Sus scrofa: one gene and its partners. The protein of the gene in region 4 interacts with the protein of the main gene of each other region in a pairwise test. Links are inferred from orthologs where the notes say so. Each region holds a gene or a part of one and is shown on either strand. Other genes may lie near its edges. The genes, in order: FIS1, PTDSS1, NDUFB6, CREB3, SFXN3, P4HA2 and SYNPR.

Region 1 (4,373 bases), on a different chromosome or scaffold from region 4:
TGCTTGGTCACCCAGGTGAGAGGGAGGGGAGAAGGGAGCTGTCTGCCTTACCTTGAGCCGGTAGTTCCCCACGGCCAGGTAGAAGACATAATCCCGCTGCTCCTCTTTGCTCCCTTTGGGTAGCAGCTCTGTAGGGGGTGGGGGAGAGGGTGAAAACCCCTTCTCTTCCTTTCCTAGTGCCTGTGTCCCAGAGACCCCTTCCACTCCCTGAATCCCTATATGATCCTGGGGGAAAGTCATGTCCTGAGCCTCCATCTCAGCTCCAGTCTCGAGGCTTCCCAGTCAGAGCCTCGTGACAGCATGAACCCAGACTGCCCAATGCCCTGGTGATCAACATCCCACTATCAACACAGGAGTTGACTGGTTCATTCAAAGTCAACTGAAAGGAAATCAAGGCTCCACTGAAGCCAGGGTTCACTCAGTTGTGGCACCTGCTGTGTATGTTAACTACAGTTGCTTGCTGCTAGACGTGTTCAAAATAAGTTTGCACTCCTTCCCCCTCTAAAAAATCAGTTCAAAACTCCCTTTCAAGTACCCCTCAGAAAGGCCCCAGCTGACTCTCTTAGTTCAGTGACTTCCCTGAGGCGTATGTGTTCAGTTGTACTCTATACACTTGAATTTCTTGCTAAGTAGTTTTGCAGGTGTTTATACATCTTCCCAAGTGTCTGCACTATTTCCTCAACTAGACTGGCAATGTTTAGAGACCCTTTCTGCTGCAGAGGAAACCCAAGAAATCCCAATTGGCAAAGTAGACAAATGGAGGCTGAAATTATTTGCATTAAGGAAGACTCTTACTTTTATGGATTTACAATAGGCATCCTTGGCTAGTACACTGTTTGCTTACACACCATCACCTGACCAAGAGAAAGGGGGGTACAGAGAGATTTAAGGGTCAAGTATGGTAGGCTCTCACCAAATGCTGACCCATCCAAAACCATGAGAAACAGCATTCTGATCAAAAGAGCACCATCTGCTCACAGGCTTTTGGGATCATTTTCTATACTTCTTCCATGGGCCCCCTCAGAAGATTTTCAACAACCACTGCTAAATAAGCAACATGGTGGGGGGCAAAGAGCATGGGACTAGGACACACAAGACAGGTGCTTCTAGTCCCAATTCAGCCATTAATTAGGCAGCTGTGTGACCTGGGACAAGTCATTTTCCTTGTGTCTAGACTACCAGATCACCAAAGTCCTGTGGGGACTGACAGGCCATGACTATTTGGCAAAATCAATGATGAGGTGGTAAGTAGCCAAAAGTATATATTACAAGAAGTCAGGCTAAGCATAACCCTTTTTTGCTGTGAGTTTACTGGAAAATAACTGTGAGGTGACTGGTACTTTGAGGTCCCATGTTCTAAAAGGATCCCAGTCCTTGAGATGGAGGGAGTGAAAGAGGCCAGTGGTGGTAGAGGGTGATGGCAAGGGAGGGCTGGGGAGCCAGCTTAGCACCTCACCCTCCAGCAGAGCAAGGCCTTTACGGATGTCATCGTTGTACTTGCTTCGCACCAGACACCAGGCATATTCAAACTGCGTGCTCTTGGACACCGAGCCTGCTGCCTTCTCAGACTGAAATTTCCTTTCAAATTTCTGCCACAGGAGAGGAGAGGAGTCATTTAGAAATGAAGGGGGTAAGCCACTCTCTATCAGGACCTTCGTGTCCCTTTCCTCATTACCCTCCATCTTTCCCTCTGCCACATTTTCCTTGTCGGTTGTGGGGTCTAGTATCCCTGGTTCTGCCATCTCCATCCCTCGGCCCAGGCATTCTGCTTCTTAGCAGTGGGCTGTCTGTCTCCTTGGATGGTCCCCCCTCTGCTCCCCTCCCCCTAGTGGCACCGAGTGGAGATGCCACCTGGTGGCAGTTCCAGGCACCGCTCCCGGAGCAGCTGACCCCGTGAGGCTGAACAGTAAACAAGCTGTCAGAACTGCTCAACAACAGCCCACGCACTCTCTAGTCGGAGACTGCTTCTCCCATCCCCACCCTGCCGGGTTTGGACCCCTTCTTATCTGCAAAACAGGAACAAAAATAGTGCCTACCTCCTACTAGAGCTACAAAGATTGAGATATCCCCTGCCAGGCACCGTGCCGGGTTCAGTGAGCAATTTATGAAACTTTATGGTGGTCGCCCTGTTACCATGCCACGAGAGCACTCAAAAAACAGGTGCTCCCTGACCTCCTAGATCCTGCACGGACCCAGCCCCCATCAGGCTCCAGGCCCTGAATCTGAGGCGTGGTAGCACAGGAAACTACATCTCACATTAGCCTCTGGGGCAAACTGGAACCTCTAGGCAGCAGCCGGACGCTGCAGGGGCTGCCGGGAACCGTAGTTCGGCTTCCCAGGGCAAAGCTGATGCTGGGAGGAGGGTTTGGCCCCTACCCCACTCTCCTGAGGGCCCGCCCTTCCGAATCTTCCTGTTCCCTCCCTCGGGGCCGGGCCTCACCAGCAGATCCTCCACAGACACCAACTCGTTCAGCACGGCCTCCATGGCCGTCGGCCTCGCAATCCTCACTACTCAGACGCTACTGTGCCACAGTCTCCATGGCCCACTGACAGGGGCGGAGAGCCATTTCCGGCGTCCGGCGGAAGTCAGACCCCCCCCCCCTGAGCAGAACCAATCGCTTTACGTGGCCGACTCCGAGCCCGCCTTTCAGCCGGCTGGTGGGTGGGGTTACTGATGCGCATGCTCCAACAGGTCTCGCGGGAGCCGGCTGCGTCCTCAAGACTGTCTTCGAGGGTACTCTGCGTGCGCCTCAGAATACTGAGGTTGCCTCAATAAAGTCTGAGACTACGTCTTGGTAATTGACCCCTGGACTGATAACAGCGTAAAGAGAAGGTGGGGAACTAGGCATGGATCACATAATTTTAGGGACCAGTCTAATCTACCCTCCGCCCCTCAGCTCTCTCCTCTGAGGTACCTAGGACGCTAGCGAATACGTGACCTTTCAGTACCTGTAAGAAAATTATAACTAGTACCAGAGTTTCCAGGGCCCCTGCTGCCTCTTACAATGCAAGAGGAAAGAAAATGGATCTGTTAAGCGTACACCCAGAAACTGTGGTGGGGGTTGGGGGGGGATACTATGAATGAGAATTTAAAGAAAAGCTGTTGTCGTTGCTTGCACAGAGGGTCCAATCTTTTAAATATTATTTGATAGAGCATCCTCTGGGTGTACCCAAGGAGGAAAGGCCGGCCAAGTGGGGTTATGGGCAATAAGGACCTTGACAGTGAGAAGCAACAAAGCATGAAAAGGGGAAATGCTGCTGGCTGCTCTGGCATCTGTGTTCTGTGCAGTGAGGGGACTGGGTAGGTAGTGATTTTCAAATTCTTTTTACCTTGACCCTCAGTGCTCTAGTAGACATGTGAATATAAGTTCCATGGACAGAGACTATCTTGTTTGTCTCTGCCGTCTCCGGCTCCTAGCACAAGGTAACAAGTAAATCTTTGTTGAATAAACAGGAAATAAAGCCAACAACAGTAATGAAGGCAGTGCACATGCAGGGGATTATCATCCAAACACCTTTCCTGTTCGCAAAGCCCCTTGAATTTATTTCCCCCTCATAATAGCCTTGTGAGTTATGTAGGCAAATTATTCTTCTCTGTTTGGCTTGGACAGTTGAAATGACTTTGACATGAGCTCAGTAAACTTTGAGAGAAACCTTAGTTTAGGGAACTGGCTCCAGAACAGTCAAGGAGAAAAATTTGCATTCATTGAAAGACGTATTGAACACCTAATTTTGGCTGGGCCTTGGGGTAGGCAGAGAGAATAAAAAGACATACCTAATATGAGGTAGATGGGTGACAACAGGAAACGGCAAGTACTGGCAAGGCAGGGAATATAAGAAAGCAGAAGGGCATTATGTCTTTTTGCCTTTTCTAGGGCCGTACCTGAGGCATATGGAGGTTCCCAGGCTAGGGGTCCAATCGGAGCTGTAGCCGCTGGCCTACGCCAGAGCCACAGCAACATGGGATCCGAGCCGCATCTGCGACCTACACCACAGCTCATGGCAATGCTGGATCCTTAACCCACTGAGCGAGGCCAGGGATCGAACCCCTAACCTCATGGTTCTCAGTCGGATTCATTAACCACTGAGCCACGACAGTAACTCCCAAAAGGGCATTATTTCTATCAGGACGTTACTCCCCTTGGGTGACCTGCTGCACCTTATCCATTTTTGTATCTGTTGTAGCTCTTTGCACAGGCCTGAAACATGGTAAGAGCTCCAGTGGGGTTTGTTGAATGTATATTCATGGGGGGAAAAAGAACGCCCACATGGCTTGATTCTGTGCCAGTGAAGAGATGCTAAGTCTGAGTTTGTGTTTCTTGGGTCATAATGTCACCATCTACCTTGGATCACAGAGTTAGTTAATAAGTAGG
Region 2 (3,657 bases), on a different chromosome or scaffold from region 4:
CCATATGCCACAGGTGTGGTCCTAAAAAAGACAAAAAAAAAAAAAAAAAAAAAAAAGGAACAGATGAAATTCATTTATATATATATCCAATATATTTAAAACATTATAAAGAAGTATTTTGGCGCTCCCATAGTGGCTCAGCGGTTAACGAATCTGACTAGGAACCATGAGGTTGCGGGTTCGATCCCTGGCCTTGCTCAGTGGGTTATGGATCTGGTGTTGCCATGAGCTGTGGAGTAGGTCGCAGATGCGGCTCAGATCCCGAGTTGCTGTGGCTCTGGTGTAGGCCAGCAGGTACAGCTCCAATTAGATCCCTAGCCTGGGAACCTCCATATGCCACGGGAACAGCCCTAGAAAAGACAAAAAAAAAAATTCATTCAAAGATCTTCTCAAAGCAGAGCCAAAAAGTCCAACCAAAAAGAAAGAAAACAGAGACATGGTGCGTATGTATGATTCCCCCTCCCCTTTTAGGGCTGTAATTGTGGCATATAGAAATTCCCAGGCGAGGGGTCAAATAGGAGCTACACTGCCAGCCTACACCACAGCTCACCGCAATGCCGGATCCTTAACCCACTGGCCAAGGCCAGGGATCTAACTGGCATCCTCATGGATACCTGTTGGACTAGTTTCCAATGCGCCACAGCAGGAACTCTTGGTGCGTATGCAACGATTTATACTGAAGCCTACTGAGCCTTCTCTCCTTATTTAGGGCCTGGCATTTGCTATTTGGATGGCTGTGTTAAAACCCATTAGAGCACTTCCACCTTTCCAAGAAGGTTGTCAAAGGATCTCCTTACACATAAAGAGCCTTAAGAAGGGGAAGAACACAGAAAGTGGCTAATTTTTCAACAAAAACAAATAGTGTGAAAACCCATAGGGTTTGGCAAAAATTTGGAGGAGCTCTCAGAAAGTCCAAACACTGGATTTTTCAGTCTCTGGTTTAGTCTCTAGTTTTTGTAATGAAATGTCTAACAGTTTTGAAATTTTATGATAAATCACATGTGATCTGCTGTTCCGTTTAATAAGTGATTTCTTTCCCTGCTTAATGACTTGTTGATTGCTCCTAATTTCATGAAGAGATGGCTGCTAATCTTTCCTGAAAATGAGTGTAAGCCTCAAATTAAATCAGATTTTAAATTTGGCAGAGAGGCTCCAAGCCACCAAAGGAAAACAGCATTTGTGAGATGACCACTTCAACAGTCCACTGGTCTATAAAGTGCCAAAAGGATGCAGTTTACCAACTGTTACTTTGCTGTTTTTACACATATAATAAAATACCTGTCAGAGTTCCTGTCATGGCTCAGTGGAAATGAATCCAACTAGGAACCATGAAGACGAAGGTTCGATCCCTGGCCTCGCTCAGTGGGTTAAGGATCCAGCATTGCCATGAGCTGCAGTGTAGGTCGCAGACACAGGTCAGAGCCCATGTTGCTGTGGCTGTGGTGTAGACTGGCAGCAGCTGCAGCGCAGATTGGACCCCCAGCCTGGGAACTTCTATATGCCAGGTATGGCCCTAAAAAGCAAAAAAAAAAAAAAGAAAAAAAAGAATTTAGTTTTTCTACAGCTTCTGAAGAGCGAACTCAGTTGCTGAGTTTGTGTCTGTATCAGCTGAGCAGAGACCCAGGGCGTTTGTACCAATCAAGTCCAATACTGCATACTAGTTAAAAAACCCAAATGCCATTTTGAAATAGGAACAATTAAACAAAACAAAGTGTTTTGCTTTGAAGTTCACAGGGACTGGTCCATACGAGGGACACCTCTGAATAGCGCCTCATCCCTCGGCCTGCGTGAGTCATGCAGCCAGGGGAGGGGTGGCATGAATACCCAGGCATGTCCCCACTGTCCCTGGAGGACTACAGGAAGGACACTTTTAAAAGGAAATGAACTGAATTGCCTCTGAAAGAGCTAAGTCTCATTCTAAAAATAACATCATGCATGACTTCAATCCACCATTAAAAACATTTGTATTTTTCAATAATCTCATTAAAGAAACCTCAGATCTCTGTTACTCATTTTATTTTAAATAGGATGTTACGAGATTTAAAAAAAAAAAAGAATGGGAGTTCTCTTTTGGTTAAGGATCTGGTGGGGTTTTTTTTGTGTTTTTTTTGTTTTTGTTTTTGTTTTTGTTTTGGCTTTTTAGGGTTGCACCTGCAGCATGCAGAATTTCCCAGGCTAGGGGTCAAATTGAAGCTGCAGCTGCCGGTCTACACCACAGCCATGGCAATGCCAGATCCCAGCTGCATCTGGGACTTACACTGCAGGTCACAGCAATGCGGGATCCTTAACCCACTAAGTGAGGCCAGGGGTCGAACCCGTGTCCTCATGGATACTAGTTGAGTTCGTTACCGTTGAGCCACAATGGGAACTCCAAGGATCTACTGTTGTCACTGCAGTAGCTCAGGTCACTTCTGTGGGAGGGGTTTGACCCTTGGCCTGGGAATGTCCACATGCCACACATGCAAGCCAAAAAACCCTAAGAAACTAACGACCTTCCCTCCCTAAAAAACAAAGAACAGCAGTGAAGATCATAATGGTGTGAGGTCTTCATGTTACAGAGGTCTGCGAAGCAAAACATTTTCTTGAGAGCCTGGACTCATAATTCTTTTTTTGTTTTTTTTTTCTCTTTTTAGGGCTACACCCGCAGCATATGGAGGTTCCCAGGCTAGGGGTCTAATTGGAGCTGCAGCTGCCAGCCCACACCACAGCCACAGCAACGGAGATCCGAGCTGCGTCTGCGACCTGCACCACAGATCATGGCAACAATGGATCCTTAACCCACTGAGCGAGGCCTGGGATCGAACCCGCATCCTCGTGGATACTAGTCAGGTTCGTTACCTGACTAGTCGGGTTCCCGACTAGTTGCTGAGCCACGATGGGAACTCCTGGACTCGTAATTCTTTAGAACGATATTTTCATGGAAAAATCTGCTCCTCATGTGGCTTCCCTTATGTACACAGGAGAATACAAAGCAGGTGAACGCACTCAAATGATGGTCAGACTAACACAGAATTACCTCACTGTGGGAGCCGTGATGCCACCGATAAAGAGAATTCTACACCAACTTAACGGATGGCTGGCTTGGAACACAAAGATGTGTTTCAGGAAGAAGGTATTCAACTCAGTCAGCTGCAAAAGAAGAGGCGTGAGTCAGCTTGATGCTTCTTGCTAAGTCATGATCACCTAGTCCACCAGTGGGCAGTCTATAGCTGGAAATAACTGGTACATTCAAAGCATTTTCAGAAAAAGTACTGGGGAGTTCCCACCGAGGCTCAGCGACTAGTCGGGAACCCGACTGGTATCCATGAGGATGTGGGTTTGATCCCTGGCCCCGCTCAGTGGGTTAAGGATCCGGCGTTGCCGTGAGCTGTGGTGTAGGTCCCGGATGCGGCTAGGATTCTGCATTGCTGTGGCTGTGGTGGAGGCCAGTGGCTACCGCTCTGACTGGACCCCTAGCCTGAGAACCTACATATGCTGCGGGTGTGGCCCTAGAAAAGACAAAAAAAAAAAAAAAAAAAAAGGTATTGGGTCTCAAAGGATTGTCATTTAAACCAGGTAACAGCCAGGACAACATGAGCACCAACGAGGCAGGGGTCTGGGGGAGGTGCTGGGTGGTGAGAGGGGCACAGGAGTCGCCAACCATCTGCCACGTTTCCA
Region 3 (4,374 bases), on a different chromosome or scaffold from region 4:
CCCAAGAAATAGCAACAATAACAACAACAACAACAACAAAAAGACAAAAAAGACAAAAAAAAAAAAAAAAATATGGCAACAGGGCATCTCAGTTCAATCACCACATGCAAGATCTTTCAGGGAAAAAAATTCAAGCCTCTAGATGTGCTAGATTCTAAAGAAAGTTAAGTTGTGAAAAAACACAGAGCAAAGGGAAAGGGAATAGTAAGATGACAAAGACAACTTTTAACTATTTTGAATTTTATCTTAGATCTGTGTTCAAAAAAAAAAGGAACAGAAATTCTTTTCTCCCTTCCAACTCAGGACTCCAAGTTTACACTCACATTATCAGGTCAACTACATTTCTGATCACATAATGTTGTTTCTATGAGGAAACACAACTCAAGTTGTAAGCAACTAATATAAAGATTAAATTTTTGAAAAACCATACATTACTTAAGTTTCCTTAAACCTTTTACCTAAAAGGATTCAACTTCAAAATCAGTTATACATGGCAGATTATTTCCATTAAGTAGAGCAGAGTAAGGCATACTCGCATAGAAAATAATTTTGCACAATATTAAAAACAAATTCTGAAAAACATACACTTAAAGCATACTTACAGTTACATGATATTTAAGATAATAATGAATAATCCATACAGGGATAAGCACATGAGTAACAGCAAAGATGCTGTGTCGGTATGTCTTATAGATCTGGGGGAAAAAGCATACAAGAAATAGATACCTTATTTTTTCACATTTGCGGCAGGAAAAAAAAAGCATCAATGCTATAACAACGTCATGCTCATTGTAAAATCCCTAAATGTTACATATTTCCTTAAAGTCTGCAGCTAATTTCATGCATTCGAATATTTTTATTAAACACAGTGCCTACTAGGTGACACCTCCAGAGTTCAGAGCAAAGGAGGCTTAAGCAGTATTTTGCAGAGATATAGTAATGTATTTATAGATATACGTTTTTTAAAAGACTTCTAAAAATATCCCTATTATAAGTTTAAGACAAAACATGGCATAAATAATGAAAAAATAATTTTAATAGATTTAACCAGAATAATCAGCATACAGAGTTTTCATTTCCCTAATTTATCAATTTCAAATACATAATCAACATCACTTGTACCATCTAAGATGTAAGGCAGATAATTATGAGTACACTAATGCTGGAAAAAGGATGTCTTACATACTGGGATGGGGTGTTCCATGCTCAGTGAGCTGCCTTCAGACATACTGTTTTTAAAAAGAGGAGTTCCTGTCCTGGCTCAGTGGTTAACAAATCTGACTAGCATCTGTGAGGACGCAGGTTCGATCCCTGGCCTTGCTGGGTGGGTTAAGGATCCTGTGTTGCCGTAAGCTGTGGTGGAGGTCGCTGACGCGGCTAGGATCTGGCACTGCTGTGGCTGTGGCATACGTAGGCTGGCGGATACAGCTCCGATTTGACCCCTAGCCTGGGAAACTCCATATGCTGCAGGTGCGGCCCCGAAAAGACCAAAAAAAAAAAAAAAAAAAAAAAGGGAAAGGCAAAAGTCATTTAAAACTGGAACTTTTCCAGGGCAGCCAATTTGAAAGAATAGGACCTATCCTTTCAGGGAAAGGACAATCTAAATTTTAAGTGTTATAATAGATATGATTATGGAAAAGGTTAACATGAAGTAAGTCAGATTTCAACAAATTATTATTTACTTCCTTAAATCGCTTGCTTGATGGGTGGTATGTCAACTTTCAACCAGTGGTTGCCAAATCAGTTAGTAAAATGTCAGAAATCCAAAGGGAGAAAAGAGGAGAGTTGACTTAGAGTTTAATTTTACCACCGTAAATAAGTATCTAATACCACTTGCTCAGAAAAATGTGCACCAGACTTCGTAGCTCAGTAAGAAAGTAGATACACATGGATTTCAATGTGAACTCGAATTCCTCACCCTGAGACCATGGCTACATCACTGAATTTTTGTAGGCCTCAGTTTCCACACTTAAAATTAAGATTAGGACCAATTTCTACCTTACAGGAGTCCAAAATAAAATTAAGTAACACATGTAAAACCCTTGAAAAATGTCAGGCATAAAGTAAGAACCCAATAGGACCCATTCTTATAAGATGATTACATGGAGCTGTACTACCAGTTAGAAGCACACTGTCTTCTAGGTTCGGTGTAATGGCAGTTAGTTTCTATAATCTCAACCTCAAAGATCAGACAAATGTCCTCAAATACCGAAATCACTGAATTTTAACTCTAGTGAATCCTTGGCTACCATTCTGAGGGAAGATTCCCACAGTCAAAAGAGATGCAAGGCTGCACCATCCTGTAAAACCCAGGCAAAGATTCACCTCCTACTCATCACACCTGACAGTTAAATGGTATGACAATCCCAAAGCCAAACGTGCTCCGGACTCCTGACCCCCAGGCCAAGACTCTAGGAACCAGACAGCGTTCCCACTACACCCAAGTCTCGGCAGAACCTAATTCCCCCTTGGGAAACTACCAGTACTTTCGGGGAAAGGGAGAATCAGTCCCTACCTAATGTTGCTACAGAGAGCAGGCGTCACAGCAGCCAGGCTGGGGACCGCGACGGGGCGGGGGTGGGAGAGGGCCATCACTCACCACGTTCTTCCAGGGGGCTCCATCCTGCAAAAACTTATTCCAGAATTGCTCCATAGGCCACACCCGCCGCGGGGGCAGCACCGGTTCCCGGGGGCTCAGCTCCTGATCCTTCAGCCATCGCCTTCTCAGCTCTCGCAGCTGCTGCAGTCGCAGTTTCTCGTCGGGCGTATATCCCGACATGTCGCCGCCGGTACCAAGGAAGCAAGACACGGCGCGCCCCTGAACGAGGGTCCTGTCACATACGCGCGCTTCCCCTTCTGCAAAGCGACCTTGCGAGGACACCTGGGAGCGGCGCGCCGTTACGACGTCACTGGGGTCCTGCCCTCGAGCGGCTCCAATCTGCGCGTAGTGACTAGGCATGCGCAAACTCCTGCAGACCCCCGCACCGCTTTACGCGCCCAGATTTCCAGAGAGAGGCGGTTACTGGCAGACAGTTAGCTACCGGATGAGGAGGGAAGTAATGAAAAACAGGAAGTATCAGAGGTCAGTGTACTAAACGCTCTGACCAGGAAGAACTGGTGTATTGGGAGCTGGAAGTATGTGAATATGTGACTCAATGAGTGACTTCTACATGCAAAATTCATTTGCCTCTCCCACCTTGGAATTCGTCCTCTTCCCGTAACCTAGAGTATGTGGGGGACCCTTTACATCCATGTTCTGGTAAAGAGTCCTTGAGCAGCTGTCTCGTCTGTTCCTTCATCAGTACTGCAGAAGTAGAAAGTCGCTTACTATCCAGCAGAATTAGACACGTTCACCCTTCGTACCAGCAATCCCACTTCTAGACCTCTAGTCTAAAGATACAGCGGTAAAAATATGAAAAGAATGTGCACAAACTGCAGCACTCTTTATAATAAAATCCTGTAAATTACCGCTCAATTTCTCAGTAAAGGGCTGGCTGAATAAGTTGTGGTACAATAACTAAATGAAATGCTTTGTATAAAACTGGAGAGAGCTACTGAGTACATAAGTTGTTAAGAGAAAAAAGCTAAACGGAGAGAAGTATGTATAGTATGCTACCTTTTATCCAAAAAGGGGAGGGTGGTAGTGATACTAAATGTATATATATACATATGTTTGTTCAAGTTTTTAAAATAATGGAAAGGAAAATTACTTTTTTTTTTAATGTTACCTATAGGAAGAGGAAGGGGGTAGGCTAGAAACAAGAAGGATAGAAGCTAAACGTCTCCAAATTGGTTTTTAAAAAGCACCCTCTAAAAATCAAAAGTAAAAATAGATGGATCTGACTGCTTGGCGGCATAATTTCAAAAACACACACCACTTCAGGTAACTTTATTTTTGCGTTTTAGGACTGTACCTGAGATATATGGAAGTTCTCAGTCTTAGGGGTTGAATCAGAGCTGCAGCCACCAACCTACACCACAGCCACAGCAACACCAAATCTGAGCTGAGTCTTCGACCTACGCCACCACTCACTGCAAACGCCAGATCCTTAACCCACTGAGCAGGGCCAGGGATGGAACGAACCTGCCTCCTGATGGATACTAACCAGTTTCGTTACAACTGAGCCACAATGGGGACTCCCACTTCAGGTAACTTTAAATCATCACATTATTGTACATCCATAGAGAGGTATACTTCAAAGACAAAAAGAACTGCAAGAAAGAAAGAAAGGAAAGAAAGAGAAAGAAAAAGAAAGAAAAGAGAAAGAAAGAAGTCAAACTGTTTTAAGTAACCATATCCTTGATAGTGATGGTGGTGATGGTATTGTTAACCTGCAACTGAAAATAAACGTTTAGGCCGGGATTTGTGTTATG
Region 4 (3,458 bases):
TGGCACACATCCCACCTCCCGCCTTCAGGCTTCTGCCTGTGAGTCAGTTTTATTTCCCTCCGTAGCTGGGAATTCCCTGAGGGCAGAGACCTACTGTCTCCATCTGTCCAGCTGAAGTGGCTCTTCAGGGGTTGCCGAGGAATATGATGGCCATTTCTCTCTACAGGGCCTGACCTGGGAGGGCTTCCGTACAGCAGAAGGCTGCTACCGTACTGTGTGGGAGCGCCTGGGCCTGGCCTTCCAGACCCCTGAGGCATACTGCCAGCAGCGGGTGTTCCGCTCACTCGCCTACATGCGACCACTGAGCATCTGGGCCATGCAGCTAGCCCTGCAGCAGCAGCAGCATAAAAAGGCCTCTGGGCCAACAGCCAAACAGGACACAGGACAAAGCTCCGGCCTAAAACCTGGACCAAAGGAAGCCATGCAAACCTGAGCCCAGAGGGGGAAGGAGGCACTAACAGCCCAGCCTCCAGCCAGGCCTTTCCTCCTCCACCACCCCGACCCCATCCAGACTCCTGCAACCCTGAGCCACCAGGACAATCATGCGCTCCCTTCTCCCCACCAACCACGCCAGTAAAGAGGGGTTGAGGGTGACCCAAGCATCAGAATCACTTATTTATTTCTTTCTTCACCCCATCCCCTCATTGCATGAAATGTTCAAGGAAGTCAGTGGACTCTCCCAGGCCCCTTAATGGAACAACAGACATACATGGGTGCAAATAAAACCCCAGAAAGCCAGTAAGTGTGGTGTGTTTGTGCCCTCAGGCTTCCTGACAGGGGACAGGACCTGAGGCTCACCCTCTCCCATTCCTTTTCCTTTGAACACAGACTGGGGGCACCAGGCTCTGGCTGAGGCCCCCTGCATTCTCACATCTAGCCTGAGTACCTGCCCTGCAAGGTAACAGATATGGGGCTGTGGGTAGGGAGCCATCCTCCCTCTCTTGTGAGATTTGCATGCAGGGGGAAGATGGGACCTGGGCTAGAAGACCTTGAGAAGCGGTCGGGCAGTGGCAGCTTCATGGGCGATTCTGCCCCAGGAGCCCAAGCCATGTGGTGGAACAGGCAGCAAGAGTTGCCAGGAGCCTGGAGCTCGTGGGTTGAGCTGTCCTGTGGTACCTCTGACTGCAGTGCAGGCAGGTCCCGCTGGGGAACGTCCTCGCTGGGGAGGGCACGAAGCTGGCGGGACAACACTGAGGAGACACAGACTGTTCAGGGGCCACCCTGGCTTCCCCCCCTGGCCCTTCCTGAGTGGTCTCAAGCCTCTCACCTCCATGCTCGGCTGGCGGGCTCCCCCTTGTGTCCGAGGAGTACATGGCAGGTACGAAGAGGAGACAGAAGGAGAAGAGCAGGACCTGGAGCACAAACAGGAAAAAAAAAGAGATGAGGACGAGCTCTGGATTGCACCCCTGTCCCTGCCACCTGAGAAAAGAATCTCTCCTTCCATCGCCATCCTCACCAAGATGCAGGTGCTGCTGCTGCTGGCTTTGTTTGCCGTCTGAATCACCATGGACTGCAGCCTCCTCAACTGATCCAAAAGGGACCTAGCAGAAGAACGGGGGACAGTGAGCAGCCCCCGGCCTGGCACCCTGACATGTAACAAAATCCTCCTGTTAAGGCCACCCCTCCCTCTGTGCACTGGATCCTCTCTCTTACTTTCTGACCTATTTTTGCAAGTGATCACCTCCTCTCTAGACAAAAATGCCTGAAGTTCCTCATTAAAACAAACACACAGGACTCTGCCCTGCCCCTGACTTAAACTCCTTCTGCAAACACCTTTAGTGCTTGTACAACTGCCTGATCAGCTCCACACTCAATCCTCTTCAGGGATTCTATGTTCTTTTTTTATATTTATTTTGCCACACCCACATGCTGCGGGAGTTCCCAGGCCAGGGATCAAACCAGAGCCACAGCAGTGAGAAGGCCTTACCCCAGGAGGCCACCAGGGAACTCCCTCTATGTTCTCTACCTTATGGCCCAACTCACCTGGGTTAGGGTTCCAGCCACACTAGACTATGTGGTGTTCTCTTTGCCTAAAATGCTCCCTGCCGCCACTCCAGAATCCCCATCTACTGTCAAATGCCTTCTGCCACGTGAGGTCTTTTTTGCTCCCTCTTTCTTTCTTGATACTTATCTGTAGTTAACTTGGGAATTTATTCCCCATTGCTGTGAACTTCTTGGAATCAGATACCCATGAAAGGCCAACACCAGGCCTTGCATGTAGGAGCTGCCCAGTTAGAAATCAAGTGTGGAGCAGGGGAAATAAGAAAGTATTAAACGGGAAGAATGAGAAAGCACTGAGGTCGAAGAGCTGCTTACAGATTCTGCTCCTCCAGGAGCTGTACTTTGTTCTGTAGCTCCAGATTCTGGGCCGAGTATTTCAGGACCCTGGAGAAATAACAGGGCTGTGGGGATATGGCCTGTACCCATCCTTCAGAAACCTGACGCTCCCAATTACTTCTGTTCTCCCTGTCCCCCCGAAGTCCCTCTCCCTTTTATACCTGCTCTCTAAACTCCCCACATACACCTTCTTCTTCCTGCGGCTCTCTTGAGCAGACTTTTTGTTTCGAATCTTCCTTCGCACTCGTCTCAGAACTTGTTCCTCCATCTGAGGGACATTGGGGAAAAGGGTAACATCAGAAGAAGGTGCGACCAAAGAGCCTGAAGGCAACGGAGTTCAAGCTTCCCAATGGGCGAATTCCTTCTACAGCCTTCCTGAGCACTCTGCTTCTGTATGAATGCCCCCGAGAACAGGTGTTAACGCCCTCACAAGCCAGAACCATTTTAATTATTAACTAAAAAACACAAAACAAAAAACACTTCCTTGTCATGAGCCAACATCTGCCCCTGTTCTTTCTACCTATCGGATTTACCTAGCACCCAATCTCTGGGTGCTATTTTACTTTATTTATGTATTTACTGCTTTTTAGGGCTGTATCCTCAGCATATGGAGACTCCCAGGCTAGGGATCGAATCAGAGCTACAGCTGCCGGCCTATGCCACAGCCACAGCGACACCAGATCTGAGCCGCATCTGCGAACTAGACCACAGTTCACGGCAACACCAGATCCTTACTTAACCCACTGAGCGAGGGCAGGGATTGAACCCGCAACCTCATGGTTCCTAGTCGGATTCCTTTCCACTGTGCTGTGATGTGAACTCCTCTTTAGCTATTTTAAAACACTTGACATTTCTTCCAAGTGAAAAAAAAATCTGGGCAAAAGTTTTAACTCATCATCTGCTCTCTTCTCAGGATGGAATGTATACTCGTAATATCTGTCAAAAGATCTGGGCTCAAGCCTGGACACTGAGATGTGACGTTCTGGCTGATATAAAGGAGAGCAAGTGGTTACTGCTCTTCTAGAGGCAACACAACTAGATAATGAGTATCTGCTGATATAGCTTGCAAGCCTATTCACTCTTTTTTTTTTTTTTTTTTTTGGGGTCTTTTTGCCTTTTCT
Region 5 (4,243 bases), on a different chromosome or scaffold from region 4:
CCCCTCTCACCTGCTTGCTTGTGCGGCCGCAGCCGGCCTCGCCCGCCCGCGGGCGCGCGCAATACCGCAGCAGCCGCGGAATCCCCGCCCACGCCCCGCGGAGGCGGCAGGAATGGGGCAGGCTAGTGCAGCCCCGGGCTCCCATTGGCTGGGAGCGACGCCAGTCATTCCTCCCTCCGCCTCCCTTGGGTGCCCCTGAACGCAGTTCGCAACCTGGGCTGGGGTCGCTGGGTTCTACACACTCCAATTGAGTTCGGATGCCCCACTCTGTACCACGAACTTAGGGCTGGGGCCTTGGCTTGCTCTGCTCCCGCTACCTGTACAGCTCAGGGGAGCCCAGAACCCTGTCTTCTCCAGGCCAAGCCAGCTGCCAGGACTCGTGGAATTGTCACCCCTCTGCAGTGATCCCTGAGGCCTCAGTGAGGATGTCACCCAACAGCGGGGTGTGAGCCTGCGGTGGGCAGGAGCATGGGTGTGTGGCACGCATGCTCTGAATGATGATTGGGTGAGGGTGCGTGTGTGTGTGTGTGTGTGTGTGTGTGTGTGTGTGTGTCTGAGCGCTGCCTTCACATGCATCCTCCTTCTATATCAGAAAGTGTCTCTCTGGCCACCCAGTTCTGGAATGTATGCGGGGGGGGGGGAGGCAGCTGATAACAGGACACTAGGAGGAAGAATCTTTTTGATCCACTTCCTTGATAGGACAGAGGGATCTTGAGATTTCCGCCCCTTCACACCCAGAGCAGGGACTGGGGCCAGGGTCTGCGAAGCAGGGGTAGAAATTGCGGGCATAAAGAAACTGGGCACCCTAGCAGAGTTAGAGGTTACAGAAGGGAGTAAGGAGGGGACTAGGAAGGAGGAAAGGACTGGGGACATAGAAGGGGCACAGGCACGAGAAGAACCACACTGGTGCGAGTGCTGAGGTGCTGCGAGAGGAGCTTGTGGGAACCAGGAGAGGCGCCCAGGGGGGCAAGTAGGCAGAGGCCACTGCCAAGGCAGCCATCGAGTAAACAAGCCGGCGGTAACCCGAGTCCCTCCGAGCGCACCATCAGTGGATGCCCCTCCACGTCGCGCGCCTTCACCCTGGGCACCCAGATCCCTTGCTGAAGAAACCCGGTGCCTCCCGAGGCCAACCAAGGCACTGTGAGCAAATGGGGCAGCGCCCGCCGCTCTTCCCCTCCTCTCTCGGGCTGGGGACAGGGCCAGAACTGATCCTGGAGTCGGGATTGGCTCTGGGAGGCACCGTAGGGCCGGTCTCGGTGGACCGGGCTGGGGGCGTCGCCCCTAATGATACCCAACGCCCCCAGGCTCTGCCAATCCCTGGCCACGCCAGGCGAATGCGCCGAGGGAGCCCCAGCCTCTCAGGCTAGTGAGCGTCACACGTGACGTGTGCTTGATGGGTGTGAGGGCGGGGGCGACGGGCGCAGAGGAAGGCGGGCCTAAGAGCTGCAGAGGCCGGGAGCCGGGGAGCCCAGGAGAGCGTGAGTGCTCGCTGTGCCGGGCGGGGTCCGGGGGTCAGGAAAATAGCGGGTTGAGGGCTGGGAGTCAGAGAGGAAAGCTGCCTTGAAGTGCTCTCTCTTCAGCACACTTCCAGGCAGTGTGAGATTCAGTATCTTCGGCTCAAGGGAGGTCCATGGGGCCGGAGGGGAGGTTAGTTGGGGAAGGAATGTCGGGGTGGGGCTCTATGGATCACACAATAAAGTGTCTGCAACTGATAGATATGGGCTGTGTGTGTGTGTGTGCGTGCAAGTAACGGTCTTTGTATGCAGGGCGTGTCCACTCCATTTGTAAGTCTGGGTAGGGCATGTATGCTGCTGTCTTTGTGTGTGGGTATGTGAATATGAGTGTGCAAGGCAGCGGAGGGTGTGTCTGCCTGCGAGGGAGGAAGTGTGGTTGGAGAGGATTAGTCATTCTGTAGGATTTTGCCCAACACAGCCAGATGGCGGCTTCAGGCTTGCCTTTCTGGGCTGAATGGAGGGGTCACTTACTGAACCCTGCTTCTTTTGAGGCCAGTGGCTCAGGGAGAGGTGGGATGGGTGTCTATGTCAGCCCTGCCCAGGTGGGAAACAAGGAGATCCTTGGGCCCTTCTGTGTGGGATGAGGAAGGTGGCTCTGGAGGGGGGAACTTGTGCGTGCATGCCTGTGGGCATACCTAGCTGGCAGGCTTCAGAGTCACCTTTTAGAGATCTGGAATAGATAAGCCTTAGAGTTGCCAATGAGCCATTGCTCTCCTCCAGTCCGGGCTTGGGGTGTGGGATGGCTTATACCGTCTTCCAAACAGCCTTAGGGGTTTGTATGTAGGCTCAGGGCAGCCAGGGCCTAAAGCTGAATGAACATGGATGTGTGATGCATATAATCTGCATGTTTGTGCATACAGAGCACATGAATAGCTGTAGAGGATTTGTTGCTGCTGCTGCATCAACCACACACATGTAAATCCTCACTCATGGAAATCTGTGCCAGGCCAGAGCACAAGGACATCTGTTTTCCTGGCTCTGTTCTCCCCTGTCCCCTTCTCCTGTGTCTGCAGGTCCCTGAGCTAGGACACTGCCTAGAAAACAGCTCCCCTCCCCCACATCCTTGCTTACGTATCCAGAATCACCTTGAGCTCTAGAAGGGATTGGCAGTAAGCCCAGGGACCAGGGTAGGGCTACCAAAGTTGGCCCCATGTGGAGTCCTTGGGTCCTCTCCTTGGAGTCCTCTGACTCTGGTCCCTCCCCTGCAGAAAATGGGTGAGTTGCCCTTAGATATCAATATCCAGGAACCTCGCTGGGACCAAAGCACTTTCCTGGGTAGAGCCCGGCACTTCTTCACTGTGACCGACCCTCGAAATCTGCTGCTGTCTGGGGCACAGCTGGAAGCTTCCCGGAACATCGTGCAGAACTACAGGTGACTCCCAACCCCAACTGACCCAGGGTCTCCTTCCCTGCCATTAATAAAGTACCCTTTGCACCTGTCTCCCCTGTTCCACTCCTCCACCCCAACCCCTACTCCCTAGCCCTATCTGTTGGAATCACAGACAAGTAGGGCACAGAACGTTAACCCAAAAAATTTCAGGGTGTTTGGCTTGAGAAGGTAGTATTAATATTTATGGTCAGGGGGCTGCTCTATGCTTCATACTTTACAAGGACCTGTTCCACTGCTGGGCCACCCTATACAAGGATAGAGGGGCTCAAATTTGGGTCCCAAGGAGGTAGGAGGGCAGGAGGAAAAACTCTTGCAACACCCCAGCCATTTGTGACCCGTTGGAAACCACCATTACTCATGACCCAGCATTTGGGCAGAGTCAGAAGGGCACCCTTCTATGTGTGGCTAAGAAGGGAAATAGCAATAGGAGCCTTCCTTCCGCGACAATTTAATTCTTCCCCAGAAGTAAGGAGCTTCTTTATTACGAGGTTGAGGGCCAAAGTACCTGATCCTATGCCCAGACTTCTCCTGAGCTGCGTGGGCAGGGCTTGGGTGGGGGGATCTGCCCCTAGAATTGCTGTCTGCTCCTTGCCAACCCCTGCAGGGCCGGCGTGGTGACTCCAGGGCTCACCGAGGACCAGCTGTGGCGGGCCAAGTATGTGTACGACTCTGCCTTCCATCCGGACACAGGGGAGAAGGTGGTCCTGATTGGCCGCATGTCAGCCCAGGTGCCCATGAACATGACCATCACCGGCTGCATGCTCACCTTCTACAGGCAGGTTCTATCCTGTGTGTCTCCTCCCTGGGTGCTCTGTCCAAGCTAGAGCATAACTTGATGACTAGGCACTTCCGGTCTGGGCCAATTTGGGCAGAAAATAGTAGATGGGTGAGAGCTTGTGTTAGAATCCCTTCCCTTCCTCTGAACTCGGTCAGGGGTCCTCCCACCCCAGAGACCATGGGTGTGTTTGTGTAAGGACGACCATGCAGGGGTCACTGGAGCAGGTTCTAGGGTCATCAACAGGGCCTCCCCTGAGGGTTTGGGGCTAAGCTTTGGGGTTTTATGATTGGGGTCCAAGAAGGAGGGACACTGTCGAAGTAAGCCTTTTTGTTCCCCAGGAAGACCCCAACCGTGGTGTTCTGGCAGTGGGTGAATCAATCCTTCAATGCCATTGTTAACTACTCCAACCGCAGTGGAGACGCTCCCATCACCGTGGGGTGAGAGCTCATCCCCAGGGGCTCTTCTCCCCGCCCTCCGTTGCTCTCTCGTGTTCCCTGAGGGCCCATGTAGCCGGTGGCTCAGTGCCCTCCTCTCAGCCTGCCCCCACCCGCCACTGTCCTG
Region 6 (4,439 bases), on a different chromosome or scaffold from region 4:
CGGGATCCCACAGAAAGCACACAGCAACATGGACCCACAGGGCAGGAATATGGTGCCTAGAGTTCAAGCGAGCAGTCACCACTGCTCCAGGCATCACAGCACTCAACAATGACCAAGTGGCCCAGCTCAGGGCAAGGCATTATAGTCCAGTAGGGAGGCATCCAGCCCTAGACATCCCCAGAGTTAGACTCAGCTCCACAATCACTTTCCGGCTTTGGAACCTCAGAAAAGTGACAGGGTCTCTTTGAGCCTCAGTTTTCCCATCATATAATATTAGGACCTACATCTGATGGGGCTGTTTAGAGGACTGAATGGGACGACCGATGTCAGCGGACAGCCCAGCACCAGGCACAATTTATACCAGTCAACAGCACCAAGAGTACGGGAGGAACAGCAAGAGATCAGAAGCAGCCAGCTGGCCAGATGATCCCTGGAGAGGAAGAAAGTCTAGTCTAGAGGACCATGAAGATGAAAACAAGGCAGAAATTGGGCAATCTCTATGTCCTAGCAGTGCTAAAAGAGAGGCAAGATTAATTTAGGAGAGAGCGGAGTCAGGCATAATGCAGCACATCGACCACCAGGGAATAACACTGGCTCTAACGCGCACCAAGGAAAGTTCTCCGGCAAAACCAGGTGACTGGCTCAATACTCTAGAATCTCATGTATTTCTACGACCTGCCCACTCCGCGTTTCTATGAGTACCAGGCCACAGGATGATGACCACACCCTGGGCCCTCAGGAATGCAAGGCACAGAGCAGGCTACACTCTAGCAAGCATTTCCTGGAAGGTCTAGAGCAGATGCTGATCTGTGATCAGGCTCACATCCTATTTGAGCTGGAGAACTCATTACCCAGACATTGACTCTCTACCGTGTAATGAAACCATTTAAACAAACACTCTTCTAGGCCTCCAAGAAGTCTAATTCAGACTCCTCCTCACTCCCCTCCATTCTTTCTACGAATAAAAACTCCATCCATCATTCCACATCCTGAGCTCAAATCCCAGAGACCTCAGGAGCCACAGGACCTCTGTGCTCAAGGACAGGCTGATGTCCCACCCTGGTGCACTTCAAAAGTCCAAATTGCTAGCTTTGAACAACTTACTCAAAGTTTAATTCTCGCTCCAGCACCCTGTCGGGCTTGCCTGTGCTTGCATCACAGCATTTCCTGCCAATTTCCATCTGCATAGAATTAAACCCTTGACAGATCCCAGAAGCCAGGGACACACCCACCAGCCCAATGCACACTATCAGCCAGCGTGGCCACTCACTGGCCAAGGTCTTGTGTCCAGCCTCAGAACCACCCTCCCACCCCACCCCCACCCCACACCCACCCCACACCCCACTGCAAGGATGTGGCAGGGCAGAATCAAAAAGGGAGGTTCTCACAGGAAATAAGCAGACCCCAGACTCCCTCACCCGACTCATTCCTCAGGGCAGCACCCACACAGTCTTTCCTGAGAAGCATCCATGCTCTGAGTGCCTCCCTGGCATGTGACCAGCCGCAAGCACGAAGCAGCAATCTCAGAGAGATTATGAGCTACCTACAGGCATGGAGAGTACTATCGCTACTGCCTCCTCTCCCTCCTCCCTCATTCCAGCCCCAGGCAGCCTCTAAGGAGACGCCTAGCCTAGACTCTTAAGCAGAAGCCTATTCAAGGAATGAACGGAAATTGGCTGTGGCCAGGTTAAACCAGGGTCAAAGTAGGCACTCTCCCAGGCAGGCCATTTCAGAGTCTATCACAAGACAGACTGGACAGGGGAGAAGGGTCTATCCCAAGCCACAGACAATGCTTAGTAGCCACCACGTCTGCCTGCTGAGCTCTCAGAGAACTAGGGTGGCCCCGTGTGATGGCATCTCTGGGATGAGGCCCCCAGCCAACTCACTCCATTCTTGCTACGTGGCTCCTTGGCTGGGCCCCACAGTGGACGGGTTGGCTGTCAGCAAATGAGGCCCCAAAAGAAAAGCGTTCAGAGCCCAAACATGTTAGAAGTGAAAAGAAAGGCTGGCCCTTGAGAACCAGAACCAAAGTGAGAAACTGCTCCCTGGACACTTCAGGGGGAGCTTAAGCACAAGCCAAAGGCAATCTTGGTTCATCTAACAGAGAACTCAAGTGTGCTATGAGCTGAGAAGAAGACATAGCTTATAAAACCACTCTATAAATTCTTAGGTGGACAGTGGATCTCTGTGAAATCAAGGACACTTATCTGAATGCCCTAAATGACAAGCCCTTGCTCTCAGGGGCAGGATATCCCACAAAAAGGTTAAGGTTGTTGAGCCTCAGATGGTTTACATCAAGCAGCACAAGCCTGAGGTGTCACTCTGCAGTACAAGACACCATTTCTCAGCCTGGGGAGGGGCGCTGATGTTGTTCTGCACCATCTGAAAGGAGTCAGATTAGAGAAGAGAGACCAGGAGCCTCTGTCTTGCAGTGGGAAATGCCCTGATCTACGCCGATGCAGCAAGGATTCACCGAGCACCCTCTACATACAGGGCACAATACAAGGCACTGACCTCTCACTTGAAGCTCTCTGGACAGGGTCCATGGGAGTTACGCCCTAAAACATCCCTTCCCCATCAGCCTGCTTCCCCTGGAGTGCCCAGGTCTTCCTCCACTCACACAAGCTGTTTCTCCGTCTGGGTTACCCTCTCTTCAGCCTTCATTTGACCACTTTAGCTCATGGGTCACCTCCTCCAGGAAGCCCACTAGCCTGAAGCAACCTGTGCTCTACCAAGTACTCACAGTCCAGTGCTCCCTCCCGGCACAGCACTCACCACACTGCCCTGGGCCTGGACTTCCCTGGTCTTCCAGTCCGCCTGCCCCACTGGGCTAGCAACTCCTTGCAGTTTCTGACACACACAGGGGTCCGTTTGTTGAATTAGTTAACTAGTTACAAGTCGCCGCGGCTGCTGAGGCAAAACCACGCAGGTTCTAAAAGGATGTCTGGAGGGGAAAGAAAAAAAAAAAAACTTTCTCATCCAATAGCCTGTGTTAATGGGCACCAAGCTGGACTCCGGAGGCCAGGGCCACAGACTCCCAGGCTTCTGAAGGGAGACATGCGGACCTCACTAACCCTAAGCGGTCGCCCAAGGCCTGCCCGGCGCCCCTGCCTCCGCCTCCAACCTCGGGCAGCCCTCGGGCCAGGCCGCCCCTTCCCTTCCCGGGAGCCTGACCAGCAGGGCGGCCAAGCTCCCCGCCCCGCCCGGCCCGGCCCGGGCGACCCAGGGACCGGCAGGAAGGGCGCTGCTGACCTCACTACCCCGAGCTCGGGAAGGGGACGCAGCGGCGGGACAGGAACCCACACGGGGGTAGAAACAGGGCGGAGGGCGCGGGGTTGCGGCCCGGGCAGCACGGCGAGGGGCGCGACCCCCAACTCCAAGCCCGTGGGGGCAGAAGGTTCGGCCCGTCGACCTCTGCCTGCGCCCGAGCTCGGCGGCGGACCTGGCGGCCGGGCGGGCTGGACGCTCACCGGGACACGCGCCGCTCTCGGCGTTTCCAGAACCTCCCGCGGCGGCACCCAGCCCGCTCGGCGCCGCCTCCCGCCGCCGCCCCGCCTCCCGCCGCGGCCGGGCTCCGCCCGCTTGAGCCGCTGCCACGTCCCCACCTCCTGCCCCCCGCCCGCCCGGCCCCCGGCTCCGCGCCTCCACAGCCTCGGCCGGGAGTCGCCACCGCCAGCGACCCCCGGGAAGGCTCAGGCCGCCCGACTGCGCGGGAGCCAGGAGCGAGCCTTGGGCCAGGCGGGACCGGCCGCCCGCGCCCTTCATGCCGCCCGCCGCTCGCCGCACGTACGAGGCGCCCGCCTCCCCTTGCAGCTCCTCCTTTGGGACTCCGCCCGTCCGCCTCCCCCGCCCCTGGGCGCCTGGAGAGGGGCCCACGACCCGATCCCGGCGCCGCCAGATGCCTGCGGACTCCCCTGGCCCCAGCCCATGCCCATTTCCTCCCGGGTCCTGCGCTACCCACACGGGCCCCTCCCGCCCCCTCCCCATCTTTACCACCAGCGGGTTACGTCCCCCGGCCCAGGAGCTAGATCATCAGGGAAGGGGAGAGTGGAGAGGGCCTTGAAGAACCTAAGGACCTGGGATCCTTCCCCAGGGCCAAGCCCTCAAAGAGACTCAGACTCCCCTCAAGCTCCTGGGTCAGGCAGGTATGTCTGAGGGAACGGGTCGGTGAGAAGGGAGCCCTTAAAAGATTGGGGGGTTGGGGATGGGGAGCACATGGGCGCCAATCTTTGTTTTGCCCAAGCCCTTCTGTACACTACGGGCCCCAAAACAGTAGATAGCTCACTCAGGCAGTTCCGTCTGGGAAGGAATGAAGGCAGGGATGCTGCAAACCTCAGCCTGAGCTAGAGGCTGAGGCCCGCCAAGCAGATTCCCACGCCTGCTCTGTGAACCTTCCTGGTCATGAATGAGGGGAAACACGGTCTGAGAATCTCATCAGG
Region 7 (4,381 bases), on a different chromosome or scaffold from region 4:
TTTAAAGACTACCAACTTCAAAGCTGCTGCCCCACAGAACAGGAGAAACTAGGGTGTTATTAGTGCTTTGTTGTGCTCAATTTACACTTTTTGCTGATCACTTACTGTTTACCAAGAACCATGAAAGACACTTGTGGGGACTACAAACATAACACATTTCCTGCCACTGAAGAGCTAAAACTCTCTCACTGTCACTATCTCTCACAGAAAACAAATACCTGAGAGGAACTCTTCACCTATTGGATGCACAGAAAAGGTATTTTCTTTCCCTTTCTCCACTTTGATAAACTTTCTCAAACCACCTATCTCCCTGCTTTCATCTCTCGACCTCAGCTCTTTCCAAAGGCAGTGATCAACTAACTTATCTTTTAAGGTTATTCTGGTCCCTTTTTTCAGGTTCTTTCCCACAAACAATGGCCTAACAACTGATTTACAAGCAAAACCTTTCTTCCTCAGAGCCTCAGAAGAAAGAAAGGAAATCAACTATACTTTGATTTAAAAAAAAAGTTTTAATGTAATAAGTTCTCTCTCATTTACACACATACACATCAAGAAAAAAACAACTATAAGGCAGTGTGATACATTCTCATGAGTGAATGGTTAAGATGTAACTGTAACAGAAGCCCAAAGAATGGGGTGAATCAGTCAGTTTGGGGTAGAGGAAAGGGGAAGGAGCAAATATGAGCACAATTTTCAGTGAGGAGGTAATATTTAAGCTGAGGTTAAAAAGCAAACATTTGTTCTCAGTTTGAGCTGTGAGGGTGCTCCATATAGTATAAACAGGAATAACAAGAGCATTAAGGTAAGAAGTGCTTTGCTGTTTTGGAGGGACTTTATGAAGCTTAGGGTGCTGGTTATCCAAATTTAATGTGTATACAACTTATCCTGGGAGCTTGTTTAAAATGCAGATTCCCAGGCACCCACCTTCACAATATTTTAATTTGATTTCCAAAATCTGCATTTTAAAAAAATTCATCCAGGTTTACCACACTTCAAAATACGATCATAGAGGCTGTGTATGGGGAGTGACATGAAAAAACACTGCAACAGGACTGAAGGGAATACCAACTAATATTTCAGGTAAGTGACAATGACAGTAGGACAGCGACAATGACAATGTGAAACAATAAGAGATTATATCAGAAATGATGTCAGGTCTTTGAACTTGGTTTTGAGAGGCAATGGCTTGACAATGGAGCTATTACTTTAAGAAAAAAACAAAAACAACAACAAAAAAATCACTCTTCCACAAAGAATGTTTATTGAACAGCTAAATGAATGAATGCAGAAAGAACTCTGAGAAAGTCAACTTAAAGCTGCCTGGACTTTGAGTCCTGCTTGCTTTAACTTTGCTGTGACAAAAACAGTTTTAGAATAGCCATACCAGAACCACTAGTCCCAGCCCTCCAAACGTTGCCCTAATGTATGCCCAGCTGATAGATTCATGCATTTTTATGCAGTTTACAAACAAGCCAAATATGACTACCCTGTAGACCATCCAAGTAAGCATGTACCACGGTTTTGCTGCCAAAGCAGGATCCTGGCCCTTGGAGCTGAGATCTGGGAGGACAGAACAGGCTCTTACATAATTTCCCAGCTAGTCAGTGATAGGACCTGTGATTAATGCTATATGACGGGCTCTGAACTTTCTGTTCAGATAGATTCACTTGCCTTTCAGAGCTCCTAGCAAGAGAGAATGTGTGACCCACAGATTTCACTCCGAATAACCATCATCCAAGCCAGCAACACTAACATTTCTGTGTGACCCCCTGGGTAACTGTTTCTGCGCTTCACTCTTCTGCCAAAAGATAAGTTGCGTTGGGACTATCAAGTTGTATTTTAAGGGAACAAAACAGAAGAGTACTACAACTTCCTAAAGCCCAGTCGCTGAAGAAAGCTCCACAGAGAAGGCTAGGAGGTTCTTCGTGGAGAAATCAGAAAAGCCCTCGAGGAGTGGCCAGAGTGAAGAAACTAAGATGGGAGGAAGGACTCCCGTTCTCTATAACAGCATCTTTCACAGCCTCGCAGCTTCTCTTGCCGGAGCTGCAGCGGCGAAGCGCTTCCAGCGTCGCAGGAGGGGCGGAGGGCTGCCCCGAGTGCGGACCAACTTTCTGACTTTTGGCCAAGTCCTCCCCGCTACTCTGCTCACCCCCAGGTCCTCACCCCCGCGGAAAGCCAGGTGAGCAGCCAAAGCCCAGGACAGCTCCTCCATCTGCTCCCGTCCTCGTCTCCCCAGGAGGCTCCTTTCCACAGCCCCTGAGCGTCTGCAAGCCGCCGAAGTGAGAAGACACCTCGTCTAAGCCCGTGCAAAACCAAGCTCCCGCCTCCAAGCCAGGTCCCTTCGTCCTGTCCCTCAACCCCGGACTGGAACCTGGGCAGTGGGGAGGCTTGAAGGAAGCGGCTTGAATCCCACGCTTGGAGAGGAACCGAGCAGGGAGCACCCCACCCGACCTCTCCTCACCTGCTGGTTCGCTCTCTCTTTCGCCTCCCCGCACACACATCACTACTCACCAATTCCAGGGCTCGCAGGAAGGCAAGGGGTTCCTTCAGCGCCCGGAAGGTGCCTGCTGAGGCCAGCTGTGGACCAAGGAGGCAAGAGAGAGGAAGACACAGCGTGAAGAAGGGGCTGGAGGAACGTCATCCGGAGCCCCGGGGTCCCGCAGCATTACCCGCGCCTCCCAGTCGGTCCTACCTGACTCACGGGGTCCATAGCTCGTCTTGCTCGGGCTTCTCGCCCAGCGGTGCCTGGGAAAATGAAGTTCGAGGGCCACCGCTGTCCTTGTCCCTAGGACTAGAAGCCTTCTTTCGGGAAAAGCCGGAGGAGCGAGGCGGGGGAGAGCTGGGTGCCAGGTGCGGGCTCCCGAACGATGGGCTCCAAAAGCCTGCGCGCGGGTGCAGCGAGCACAGCAGCAAGGGTGGGAGGGGCGGGGGAGCGGTAGGCGGGCGGGGTGGGGGTGGGGGTGGGGGTGGGAGGGAGGCCCGCGCAACTGCCCAGGCGAGGCTTCAATTGGCCAGCTGCGAGGTCCGGAGGGGAGGGCCAGGAGGTGGGCGAGGCGGAAGCGCGACCTTGGGGCCGAGTCGTCCAGCGCGCTCGGTGCCCTCAGGCTCCAGGGTAATTTGGGGCCTGTAGGTTTGAGGTAAGCTGGCTGGCACCTTCAGCAAGATGCTTCCTTGCCTGCATACGGGGGTTTCAGGTAAGAGAGAGGCAGCCCATACCCCTCGTAAGGAGGTGTGTGCGTTCTGGTGACTTCTGACCACCAAAGAAAGACTGATGACTTGGTCATTCCCTGAGCCTTCTTGGAACGTTCTCCAGGTGTACTGGGACACATCAGGGAACAGGATAAACACTGCCCATTCCCTCAGCAGTAAGCAGAGGGCCAGGTCGGAGGGAAAGGGGCTAGAGGTGAGGGGAGAGGAATGAATTGTGAAAATAGGAGACAGTGTGCCAGACAGGTAATCCGCATGGCTACTGTATGAGGTCAGGGGCGTATTTTTATGCCATTCTTAAAAGTAGAAACTAGACTTAGTGAGGCAAAGTTAGCCTAGGTAACACAGCTAGCTCATGAGGCTAAACAAGGTTTGGAATGCAAGTTCCTGTAAAACTCATGCTGTTTCTACCAAGATCCTTTGCCTAAGATAGAGTCCTCAAATGAAGCCCCCCTCCTCAAATCCATCATAAATAGGACTGAGCGCCACTCCCCCAACTCATACTCTTTTCCTCCCTTAGTCTGCTAACCTTACCAGAAATAATATATAACGACAAAACAGTTTTCTTTCCATGAATCACAAATTGTGTTAAAGGCTTTATAACATTACTTCATTAAATGTTCACAAATCCCAGATGGGTCTGTAGTACTAAGATTCTCATTTTAGAGATGAGGGAGTAGAGGGCCATGGAAGGGAGGTGCAGAGAATGAAGCCAGAGTTGAATTCAAAATAGTCAGGACAGGGAGTTTTTATTATGGCTCAGTGGTAACCATCCCAACTAGTATCCTTGAGGATGTGGGTTCAATCCCTGGCCTTGCTCAGTGGGTTAAGGATCCGACATCACCCTGAGCACCGTGAGCTGTGGTGTGGGTGGTAGATGTGGCTTGGATCCCCATTCCTGTGGCTTCGGTGTAGGCTGGCAGCTGTAGCTCCAATTCGACCCCTAGCCTGGGAACCTCCATATGCCTTAGGTGCAGCCCTAAAAAAAGACAAAAAAAAAAAAAAAAAAAAGGAAAGGAAGGGGAGGAGGAGTCTTCAATGCTCCTCATAGAGCTGATAGGTCCCCTTTCTTTTTAGTCCCTTTGGACAGAATTCCATTACGAAGTGGTCTCCCAGCAACACAGATAGCCCATCTGTTTACCACAAAGATCTGCCAAAAAGGTTTGGAATTGGA

The links.
Region 1: the proteins of CREB3 (region 4) and FIS1 interact in a two-hybrid assay, tested with the Homo sapiens proteins (2 studies listed by BioGRID and IntAct). The two-hybrid records come from large-scale screens. The link is inferred for Sus scrofa from reciprocal best matches to the Homo sapiens genes CREB3 and FIS1.
Region 2: the proteins of CREB3 (region 4) and PTDSS1 interact in a two-hybrid assay, tested with the Homo sapiens proteins (2 studies listed by BioGRID and IntAct). The two-hybrid records come from large-scale screens. The link is inferred for Sus scrofa from reciprocal best matches to the Homo sapiens genes CREB3 and PTDSS1.
Region 3: the proteins of CREB3 (region 4) and NDUFB6 interact in a two-hybrid assay, tested with the Homo sapiens proteins (2 studies listed by BioGRID and IntAct). The two-hybrid records come from large-scale screens. The link is inferred for Sus scrofa from reciprocal best matches to the Homo sapiens genes CREB3 and NDUFB6.
Region 5: the proteins of CREB3 (region 4) and SFXN3 interact in a two-hybrid assay, tested with the Homo sapiens proteins (2 studies listed by BioGRID and IntAct). The two-hybrid records come from large-scale screens. The link is inferred for Sus scrofa from reciprocal best matches to the Homo sapiens genes CREB3 and SFXN3.
Region 6: the proteins of CREB3 (region 4) and P4HA2 interact in a two-hybrid assay, tested with the Homo sapiens proteins (2 studies listed by BioGRID and IntAct). The two-hybrid records come from large-scale screens. The link is inferred for Sus scrofa from reciprocal best matches to the Homo sapiens genes CREB3 and P4HA2.
Region 7: the proteins of CREB3 (region 4) and SYNPR interact in a two-hybrid assay, tested with the Homo sapiens proteins (2 studies listed by BioGRID and IntAct). The link is inferred for Sus scrofa from reciprocal best matches to the Homo sapiens genes CREB3 and SYNPR.

What each region holds. Positions count from the first base shown.
Region 1 is NC_010445.4:8,939,302-8,943,674, forward strand, and holds the start of FIS1 (mitochondrial fission 1 protein), read right to left. Parts: upstream 2,802-4,373; 5' UTR 2,486-2,801; coding exon 2,441-2,485; intron 1,590-2,440; coding exon 1,457-1,589; intron 129-1,456; coding exon 52-128; intron 1-51. UniProt on the Homo sapiens protein: Involved in the fragmentation of the mitochondrial network and its perinuclear clustering. Plays a minor role in the recruitment and association of the fission mediator dynamin-related protein 1 (DNM1L) to the mitochondrial surface and mitochondrial fission.
Region 2 is NC_010446.5:40,324,094-40,327,750, forward strand, and holds part of PTDSS1 (phosphatidylserine synthase 1), read right to left. Parts: intron 3,130-3,657; coding exon 3,017-3,129; intron 1-3,016. UniProt on the Homo sapiens protein: Catalyzes a base-exchange reaction in which the polar head group of phosphatidylethanolamine (PE) or phosphatidylcholine (PC) is replaced by L-serine. Catalyzes mainly the conversion of phosphatidylcholine.
Region 3 is NC_010452.4:33,847,861-33,852,234, reverse strand, and holds the start of NDUFB6 (NADH dehydrogenase [ubiquinone] 1 beta subcomplex subunit 6), read right to left. Parts: upstream 2,893-4,374; 5' UTR 2,780-2,892; coding exon 2,600-2,779; intron 696-2,599; coding exon 603-695; intron 1-602.
Region 4 is NC_010443.5:236,453,518-236,456,975, reverse strand, and holds the end of CREB3 (cyclic AMP-responsive element-binding protein 3), read right to left. Parts: intron 2,606-3,458; coding exon 2,499-2,605; intron 2,386-2,498; coding exon 2,317-2,385; intron 1,542-2,316; coding exon 1,457-1,541; intron 1,353-1,456; coding exon 1,268-1,352; intron 1,191-1,267; coding exon 874-1,190; 3' UTR 603-873; downstream 1-602. UniProt on the Homo sapiens protein: Endoplasmic reticulum (ER)-bound sequence-specific transcription factor that directly binds DNA and activates transcription. Plays a role in the unfolded protein response (UPR), promoting cell survival versus ER stress-induced apoptotic cell death.
Region 5 is NC_010456.5:112,110,140-112,114,382, forward strand, and holds the start of SFXN3 (sideroflexin-3), read left to right. Parts: upstream 1-1,343; 5' UTR 1,344-1,478; intron 1,479-2,722; 5' UTR 2,723-2,725; coding exon 2,726-2,886; intron 2,887-3,508; coding exon 3,509-3,679; intron 3,680-4,020; coding exon 4,021-4,119; intron 4,120-4,243. UniProt on the Homo sapiens protein: Mitochondrial serine transporter that mediates transport of serine into mitochondria, an important step of the one-carbon metabolism pathway.
Region 6 is NC_010444.4:134,530,661-134,535,099, forward strand, and holds the start of P4HA2 (prolyl 4-hydroxylase subunit alpha-2), read right to left. Parts: upstream 2,884-4,439; 5' UTR 2,776-2,883; intron 1-2,775. UniProt on the Homo sapiens protein: Catalyzes the post-translational formation of 4-hydroxyproline in -Xaa-Pro-Gly- sequences in collagens and other proteins.
Region 7 is NC_010455.5:44,839,755-44,844,135, reverse strand, and holds the start of SYNPR (synaptoporin), read right to left. Parts: upstream 2,905-4,381; 5' UTR 2,711-2,904; coding exon 2,693-2,710; intron 2,578-2,692; coding exon 2,512-2,577; intron 1-2,511. UniProt on the Homo sapiens protein: Intrinsic membrane protein of small synaptic vesicles. Probable vesicular channel protein.